2 linked regions of the Arabidopsis thaliana genome follow. The protein of the gene in region 1 interacts with the protein of each later gene in a pairwise test. Each region holds a gene or a part of one and is shown on either strand. Other genes may lie near its edges.

The links. Proteins that work in one complex are often made in the same cells at the same time.
Region 2: the proteins of AT3G54190 (region 1) and AT1G14330 interact in a two-hybrid assay, tested with the Arabidopsis thaliana proteins (one large-scale study listed by BioGRID).

What each region holds. Positions count from the first base shown.
Region 1 is NC_003074.8:20,060,846-20,066,030, forward strand, and holds AT3G54190 (Transducin/WD40 repeat-like superfamily protein), read right to left. Parts: upstream 3,317-5,185; 5' UTR 3,036-3,316; coding exon 2,844-3,035; intron 2,712-2,843; coding exon 2,564-2,711; intron 2,487-2,563; coding exon 2,336-2,486; intron 2,246-2,335; coding exon 2,120-2,245; intron 2,042-2,119; coding exon 1,961-2,041; intron 1,811-1,960; coding exon 1,618-1,810; intron 1,527-1,617; coding exon 1,256-1,526; intron 1,156-1,255; coding exon 914-1,155; 3' UTR 573-913; downstream 1-572. Other genes in the region: CDKB1;1 (cyclin-dependent kinase B1;1), read left to right, coding at 32-170, 313-405; AT3G54200 (Late embryogenesis abundant (LEA) hydroxyproline-rich glycoprotein family), read left to right, coding at 4,886-5,185.
Region 2 is NC_003070.9:4,889,546-4,894,446, forward strand, and holds AT1G14330 (Galactose oxidase/kelch repeat superfamily protein), read right to left. Parts: upstream 2,788-4,901; 5' UTR 2,156-2,787; coding exon 830-2,155; 3' UTR 524-829; downstream 1-523.

The sequences.
Region 1 (5,185 bases):
TTTACTAATGGTTCCTATTTGGTTCATGGAGGTTGCTAGGAACACCAACTGAGCAGCAATGGCCGGGTGTTTCCACACTGCGTGACTGGCATGTTTACCCTAAGTGGGAGCCGCAAGACTTAACTCTTGCTGTTCCTTCTCTTTCACCTCAAGGAGTTGATCTTCTCACGGTAAATAACTCCCTGATGACCATAGCTTTGTTGCAAAGTTGCTCTAATATTGTTACCTCTTGCTTCTGCTTCCCTCTTTTTTTCCTAAGCTGAATTGCTTGGTTAAATCTTTCTGATTGAGCTTATGTTTGTACAATTGCAGAAAATGCTCAAGTACAATCCAGCCGAAAGAATTTCAGCAAAAACAGCACTTGATCACCCATATTTTGACAGCCTTGACAAGTCTCAGTTCTGAAGTTCATTGCTGTATCTGTTGTCATCGTCTTGGTGAATTTAAACATTTGATCTATCTTTGTTTCCGACACATTAGTGTCTTATGTTTGGTTTAGAGATTTGTAGTCTTTCAGAAGAAACTGGTAAAGCTTGTATTCTCAAGTGAATGTAAAACACAATGGTGTGGTAGCAATGAGATGATTTTCTATCAATCGCTTGTTTTTGTGTAATCATACAAAGTTGATGCTCAACTATCTGAATCAAGTCAATTTTGAAAATTAAAGTGAGACCTTACAGGTGGAATAAAGGGTCTTTCATAGAATTGTCAAAACCCAAATGTTACGTACAATGGTATTAGTGTACACAACTGGCATTCTGACGCGCACACTTGCCCACAAATGGTTTACAACACAGATGGCTGCTCAAAGACACTAAGTTAAAAAGATTTATCGCTACACACAATTGAAGGAAACCAAATGATACATTCGTAGTAGTAGTAGTAGCAGCTAACGATGACGATGTATGTGAAATCAATTGGACCACACATGAACAAGGCCGTGTCTGTTTCCTGTGTATATCTCATTGCGTTCTTCGTCGTAGAAAAGAGCGGTTATGTCTTCCAAAGCTTCAGCTACAGCGTTTCTTCTTTGCTTTGAGTTCTTTCCCATACAATTACTGCTGCTGCTCTCATCATCTTTTGGAGGCCCACTGCTTGGTGTTATTTTAGCTAAGCATTTCCCAGTCAATATATTGCTGATATTGATTGATCCCGCTGGATCATCCCACAAAACACCAATAATCAATATCCATCAATGAGATTTGTTAGGTTATAATATCTGGTTAATATTATCTTGAGGGGTTATTTTTCTTACCATTTCCTTCTATCCACTGATCTTCGGTATCTGCTTTGCAGTACGAGATGATCAGATCTTGATCACTTGTAATGTAGATATTATTAGTGTTACAGTCTGGATGCCATAGAAGATGGTCCTCAAAGGAAGTAACGAGCTCTCCGCGAAAGTTCCACACAGAAACGTTCCGGTTCCTGAATGTCAGAAACAACTGGTTCTCATACAGAAATATGAATGCAGACGGTGTCATGAACTCAGCTCTACTAACTTCCATTAGCTCAGCATTTCTGACCTGAATTTGTAAATCAGAAACCAACTTGATAAAGAAAACAAGTAAAACAACAGCTAAAAGATTGATTGAATCAGACAAAAAATCAACTCACGTCAAGAATTTGAAGATTCTCATTCTCTTGCTTAACAAGAAGTTTCTCATTGAATTGTTCAATGAAGTCAACTTTCTTGTTTCGGTGAAGCAAATGATTGAAGGACTTGAGAACAGTGCCATCTTCTATCGACAGAATCTTCAGAGGAACATGACTGGCAGCTCTCTTGAAGATCAATAACATTATCCCTGGACTGATGCAGGGAATCAAATGGGCACAACAGTTAGAAAATTCACAAGTCTGTCAATCCAATCTAGTGGACAGCACAGTTAGAAAAGCAGCTTGCTCAATATTTGCAAACAAGAAACAACAAAAGGGTCAAAGAAAGATGGAGAAAAGTTACCTGATTTTAATTTCCTGGACATTTTTATCTGATATCGAATATAGCATGGTGTAGTTTTTCAGATCAAACACCTTGTATACACTGCAGAAACAGCTATCAGGCTCAGAGGATGAAACTTGTCGTAAAAAAAAATTTAGGCTGTGAGACTAGAAAAATAACCTGTCCTGCGCAGAATAAGTCAGCACCTTTCCATTGACATCATCAAACTCAACAAAACCAGGCCACTTTAATGATTCAGACTCAAAAAGAGCAAACCCTGCATCCGGCTGACCTCTCAGAATATACCTAATAGTTGATTACAACCAGAAACACACATTAGTTTGAATAACGCAACAGACGACATGATACCGATTTGGTAGATGGTAGAAAACTTACTCAATTCTAGTGGATCTGCATTTCAAAGAGCTGAAATTGTCTGAAGCATAAACAGAAACTGTGATGAGAGAATCATTGTTCTTGTTGTAGAACAAGCTCCTGATGACTTCATCTGGACTAACATTTAAAAAGCATATTCTTTTGTTCGACTCTGCAGTTTAAGGTAAATCATACTATCAGTCACATAGACACAAAGCTGAGAGTAAGTAGTCAAGTTACGATAATTACCTCTACTAAAAGCTGCGCAAACACCAGAATGTGCAAGCGCAAAAACAATGTCCCTTGCAGCAACAATCTCAATAACTTTAGTTCTCTTCATCAAAAACGGTAATGCAACTAAACAGTGCCCTTTAGGATCGTGAGTATCATATTGCTCCTGAAATCAAAATTCATCAAGCAAGAGCAGCTTAAATTAGTACTCAAATCAAATCCCAATTAAGAGAGAGAAGCAATCTCTAGGGTTTGGGAATTAGGGCAAATTACAAAAGATTGAAAATTCAGAACATACCACGAGACGCATGTTACGAAATCTCTCTTGGGCGGTGCTAATAGAGAAAGCTCGATCTTTACGAGAAGAGATTTCTCTTCGTTGAAGCTTTTTAACACTGTTGACGAATCCATCGGGTCGAGACCTTTTCTTAGCCACAATTCTTCTTCCACTACAAGGTCTAGGGCTTGCCGTAATCCTTCTTCCTTCCATCTAATTCTTCCTTCTTCAAGCCCAAATATTTCCAAGTAGGTTTTGAATTTTTGTGGAAACCCTAAAGGATGAAGAAACCCTAAGAGGAAAAAGAAGAAGCGAGAGAGTTGGGTAATCTCTAGGAGGAAGACGAGAAGTGACGGCTACTACATGGGAGTGTGACGTAAGACTTTTTTGCAGATTCAGATTGGAATTAAGCTGATTTCAATGATTCAGAGCTCTTTTTTTCTTTCAAAATCTCAATTTCGAGCACGAACCAGCCGAACCAATCCGAAGCATCGTAGATCGTAGAAAGATAAAATTAATATTGAATATTTTTAAAACGCAGCGTTTAAGGGGTTGAAAGAAATTAACTTTTATGGGCTGTGATGGATGGCCCAGCCCAATAAACCTTGTGACAATTGATTAGTTTGCTTGATAGAATTCTTCGAAAATATTTAATTATTTTGTTTTACTATTAGTATTTTTAAAAAATTCATGAGTCAACTACACGAAAAAACGTCATCACATAGTCACACATGTAAGTTTTTTTAATTATACGAAGTATTGCTTTCATATACGACCATCAATCATGTTTACAAACACTATAACAATCTTACACCGTTATTTTGGTTGTCAAAATCCGGCATCGACTTATTATTTTGGAATTGGATATTTATGTTTATTTGTTATTTTGTTTACCAGCCATATTATTTTATAAGTAAAAGTCATTGATTGGTTATCCAATTTGTAAGATAAAAGGTTTAGAAATGAAACATCATTAAATTTTGTTCTAATACATTGGACTAAATCACTAAAACAATCTATTTGAGAATTTGAATATGTTCTAATTCATATGCTATTGTTCAATGCGTTTTGGTAAAAATACTATAGTTGACTTTCAAAATTTTCTAATAATTTTTTTTAAAAAAACTAAAAAATAGAGTAAATGTTTAGGTAAAAGTATCGTAAATTATTGGAAACTTACTTTTCAATGATGTGATTCTAATAACTTCTATCGTGGGATTAAAAAAATGTCAGAAACTCAACAGCAAAAAGTCAATAAAACAAATGGGCATTCAAATGCATGATGAATTTAATAAGAGAGACAGATTAAACGGGCCAAAATCCAGAAGTCGTCCCGTGTAAATGAAGAAATGGGCCCAGAAAAAGACGGTGAATTAGTCATTGAATATGTTACGTAATAACCACACGAAATTAGGCAAAAGCGACGGATGATGCATCAAGCATGGTCTCTTTACAAAAGCCATGTGAAGTATTTGATTTCTACCGCTAACCTCACTTTATTATTTTTATCATCTCCCTTCTTCCACGTCCAGCTGAATTAATTAATGCACGTCTTCGAAACATTATTAAAAATGGTCAAATCTCAACTCAATCAATACCGATTTTAATAAAATTCAACTAACAACCATTTTTATAAAGAGCTGTCTTTACGACGTTCGACGAACATTATGTATGTTTTATACTTTTATCCGTTTTTATTTTATTTTTCTAAATACTTATTTTATGAATTTAGAAGTGTGTTACAAAATTAAATTGAGATTCCATTTACAGACATACACCAAAAAAAAAAAAAAAACTAGTATCTCATCAAATTCTTCCCAATTTATGAAAATGTAATTTTCATCAATTAACTATTTTTTTAAAAAATATACTCGTGGAAAATCAAGAAATATTAAAATGTAAAATAACAAATTATTAAAATGAAATGTGTTTGAGTCATGTAATTAAAAACTGGTAACGAATCCGCGTACAAATAGTGGTCTCCTCCTTTATAGGATAAACCAAAACCCCTGAGAAACTCAACAGCGAGAGAACCACAAAGCGTAACAAAGAGAGTAATAACTATGAGTGATTTTTCAATCAAACCCGATGATAAAAAGGAAGAGGAGAAGCCAGCAACAGCCATGTTACCACCACCCAAACCAAACGCTTCTTCCATGGAAACGCAATCTGCTAACACCGGAACCGCTAAAAAACTGCGGCGGAAACGCAACTGCAAAATCTGTATCTGTTTCACTATCCTTCTCATTCTCCTAATCGCCATAGTTATCGTCATCTTAGCTTTCACTCTCTTCAAACCAAAACGCCCAACTACTACAATCGATTCCGTCACCGTTGATCGTCTCCAAGCTTCCGTCAATCCT
Region 2 (4,901 bases), on another chromosome or scaffold:
GACTCTTTTGTTTAAGCTCTGAAATGATTTTGTTCCTTCGTTCTTGGCCATATATCTTTCATTTGCAAGTTTTATCATGGCTTTAGCTTTAAATATTTTAATTGAAGATTTGCTTGAAAATCGTTGAAGTTTTAGATAGAGATGGGTGATTGCCTTGTTGGATCATTTAGTATGCATAAAAGATTTGAAATTAGCATAGCAAGCCCATCTTAGGTATTGTCATGCAAGGCTGAGAGTTCAAAGAGAAAATGACAGAGACCTACCTACACGTCAAAATCAGATGCAAACTGCCATTTTCCTGATTAAGTCTATCTTTGTTTTTTTTACTTTTCAAAGAATTAATTGCCATAATTTCTGAAGAAGGAAGCAAAAATCCCAAAACAGAGAACCAAGAGAAAGGAGAAAAATTGAAAAGTTTATGGTATTACTTGCAAGCAAAAGATCAAGTTATCTTGCAAACAACAACTATAAGATTAAAAGCTCTTTTTCTTCTCTTATCAGAGAATTGAAAGAAGAACACACAAAACACATAATATAGTCTCTTTGCGAAAAAATGAATGAAACGAATATAAACAAAAATTTTAACAAATAGTATAGCAGAACTGAAAAACTCTAGATTCTGAACTTTCTCCACCAAACTTATTACAAGACCTGTTTCTGTTCTTTCCAAGAAACTAACAATACCACCAAGATGATTGTATCCAATTGAATTCAAATAAATTTCTTTTATAACCAAAATTAATAAGAAAAAAAAGACTGCAACTTTCGACATCTCCAACGGCAGGAGAATCATAAAAATCATCTGAAAGTTATTGTTGAAACCCTTTTATCAGCAACCCATCACCGCGCAATTGTAAACAAAATTCGATGAATGTTTCCTACCGAGCAATGTCCATAGAGGCGGACTTCGATCACTAGATGGTATCCATGAATTCAGTTCAATGTACCCTCCACCTGAACTCCTAGGACCACCAATCACAATCAACCTCTCACCGCAAGCTCTAAACGCTAATCCCCAACCGTTAACCGAGTCAGCTCTTTCGGGCAATCTCCCTAAAGTAAACCATTTCTTACTCTCCTTATCATACTTCCTCACTTCCATATCAGCATGATCAGCAGCATACAATTCGTTATTCACAACCGCAACAAGAGGCGGCGCCTCTGCTGCTGCCGGCATTTCCCGGCTCCTTGGAGGCGACATTTCCGGTATCTCAGTCCATTTCTTCGTCTCTAAATCAAACTCCTCACCACAAGTAAGCACTTTCGAATCATTTCCACCAATTCCTCCAATCACATAGAACTTCCCATCCATGAAAACACCTGAACACATCTTCCTTGGTTTATTCATCTTCGGAAGTGTAGTCCAAGTCTGAAGCTCGGAGTTATACATCTCAGCGGAATCACTGATTTTGCCAAAAGAATCAAAACCACCAGCAAAGATCGCAATCTCTCCTAGACTCGCTGAGCCAAACAAACACCTCGGAGAATTCATCCTCATACCGGAAGACCAAGAGTTAGTCAAAAGACTATATCTATATATAACATGAGAAGAGTAATCATCTTTGCCTAACACAAGCAAATCCGTACCAACAGCTAAAGATTCTTTATCGGCACACATGAATGTAACACCTGAAGGCATTGTAGGCAAATTCATCCATCTTCTTTCAAAAGGATTGAAAGCAACCCATTCCAAAAGCTGACAAGAGAAGTAAACCCAATGTTCAACAATCTGGTTTTGCCTCCTGAGTCTATAAATCTCTCCGGTCTTCACCAAAGACCGAAAACTCCGGTTTAAAGAAGCAATCGAACCGTAACCAGACCTCGAGCAACGAATCAAACAGCTTATAGAATTGTCTCTGCCAATATCATTGATAAGTGAATCGCCATCGCTATTACCATTGTTGTTAGAATCAGATTGGTCTTGTTCTTGTTCATCTTCTTCAATGGCTTCATTCCCATGAATTGAAAATCCCATCAATCTGGGAGACTTGCTCTGTCTGAGCTCATCAACATCATTCTCCAATGCTCTTTTGCCATTGATGAGATTAGATTCAGAGGAATCTTCTGGTTGTGGATACATGTATGGCCACTTTGATTCTGAAAGACGAGAACTTGAGAAAATCCTTGACATCAAATATGTCCGATCTTCCACCATCTTCTCCGTACAGATTCCGATGTTAGAGAAATCAGATCGAGACGAGACCAAACACGAAATGCAAAATGGCTAAAAGAGAGAGAGAGATTCTGAGAAATCAAAAGACGATTAGATGATCCAAATCTCGATTGATAAAAATGGATTCAGAAGGAAAAACAAAAATTTGTCTCTTTATTGAAACATCAATCGCCAAAACAAATTTGGTAGCTTCAAAAGTCAGATCTTTAGATTCCAAATTTGACTCGGAAAACAAAAAAAGAAAACCCAGAAAAACGAATCACTGATCTGAATATGATTCCTTTAGCGGAGAAGAAGAAGGAGAGAACAATGGAGAATCTTTAACAAGGAAGAGATTATATAATAATAATAATAATAATAATAAGAAGAAGAAAGTACTTACGGATTTGGATTAACGAAAGAGAAAGAACAAAAAAAAAGAAGATTAAGAATATTTATTCAATTGTGGTCTGTTGGAAACTCTCTGCGAATCGGAAGTGAAGCGTAATGAGTTTCCTCAGGTCTGAAAGTTAAACTCTTTGGATGTCGAATTCAACTTCTCTCTCTCTCTTTCCTCTGTTTTATTCTTCTTCTTTTTTTTACTTGGGTTAAAGCTTTTGGAAACTTAATTAATTTAGTAATAATGGTTTCTCTTTCTACATGACGTCCGTAGTCCAAATTATTCAGATAAGATTTTCATAAAAGGAAATATTTTAGATTAAAAAATCAAGAAATTCAAAACTGTTTCTAGTTTTGTTTTGTTTTCTAGTGTTTTGAAGTTAATTAAATGTTCTAAAGTTTCAGTACTTTACTTGTTTATTTTTTTCCTCTGGTCAAAGGATGTTAAATTGCTTTGTAGTAAAACTCTATGTACGTCATAGTTTTTATTTCTTTGTTTTTCTACAAATGTACGTCACCAAAAAAAAACAACTTTACGTTTTAAAAGATAGATTTCTGTATGTAACTATTGACAATTTTTGAAGGTAAAGTTGATTTTTGTGAAGCACAGGCTAATTTCCGTGTTCAATATTTTTTTTGATTAATATACAATTTATCTGACCAATTACACGTTATAAAATCCTATATTCCACAAAGAAAAATATTAATATTATCTCTATTGAATTATTTTAGTTGTTTGCTAATACGAAAAAAAAGAACATATAAACGATTTTAACTAGACTACTAAAACTTTTTTTTTTCTTTTTTGACTAGTAAAACTTGAACACTACAATAATTATCTTAGACGAGATATATGAATTTTGGTTTGAAATTGTATCGATGGAATATAATTAGTGGGACAAATAAAGGACGACCTAGACGCATTTCCACGAAATATTATTTAGGAATATATAGTAGTACTTTTTCATTGGAATATAATTATACTTTTTCTGTTCTTCGAACATAACATTTCAGTTAAAAACTGTACTGGAAAGAAGAGGATGTATGTTTATCTGAATAAGCTGAACAGATAAATTAGGAAAACGAGAAAGCTGTCGACAAAGTGATCTAGAGGTTCACGGAGCACGTGTTGACGCACGTGGGAGTATATCTTTGCACATTAAATCATGAAATTAGTGTATTAATACCATTGTTATTACTAGTAGTTTATTACCGAGATTAATGCATTACTTATTTGTTGTCCGTTGACCAGAACTGATATGGTGGGTGGGCTCTTTTATCTCATCGGAAAAAATATTATTCGTCCGTTCTCTTGGACGTGTTGGTTTATCATAATTTTTATTCATCTACAAGTGTTTTATCGTTTAGCTGATGGCCTTTTTCAAAGCATGAGATAAATCTAAATGTAACAAATACTAAAAGATTAGTAAGACACTTATTATTATTATGGATAAAGGTCTTGATCGTACCATATGTTATCTTTACATATTTCACGCATTGATTAGAATTTTGATAAATCATCGAAGCTTAAGTCGCGCCGAAAGATTTTAGCGTGCAACTAAAGGATTATTATATTGCGAGTTGCATCTTGGCAGCTGTAATCCACTCATTAATTGCCACGTGTGAAGGCCATCTTTAAACATTATTTGGACGGTAGAAAAGAGCTTTATCAGTCGTTAGAATTTGTGAGTAATCTAATCAAATCATTTGCATATCTATCTTTCTAAACTGTGTTTTTTCTCTTATTTTGTTATATCTATCTTTTTATTTAGTTTTTGCTTTATCTTCTTAAGGCGAGATGTATGGTATCGTTAACAGTTAACACGGTATTTTGACTATTATCCAAGCTCGTGAAACCTTTTCATAAGTAATTCAAGGTGCAATGAAAATGAAAAAAAAAAAAAAATCGTTGAAGTTGACATCGTATAGAAGAGGTCTAAGATCCATATTTTATGTACTACTTTATAAATAAATTACAAATTTAATCTTTGAGACATTGTGGTGTTAATAATAACCATTTTGTATTTACTGAATTTCGATAATGTTTGTGACGTATTGTTCTATCAAAGTTTCCAAGTTTGATAAGATTTTTGGAGTCAAAGGTCAATAACTATGAATTTAAAATTCCGTTACCTTTCAACGATATTTATCTAATACTATCTCAGCAGAAATGCAGTTACCCTTAATTAATAAAAATATATATATATTCTACAGAGCTGTTTGTATTTTCATATGGTAAAGTTTCATTATCTTTTCGTTTTCAATGAATATTGGTTTTGACTTTTGACCACAAAAACAAAATGAATATTGGTTGGAGAAAGGTTAAATATAAATTTATTTATTTTTGCTT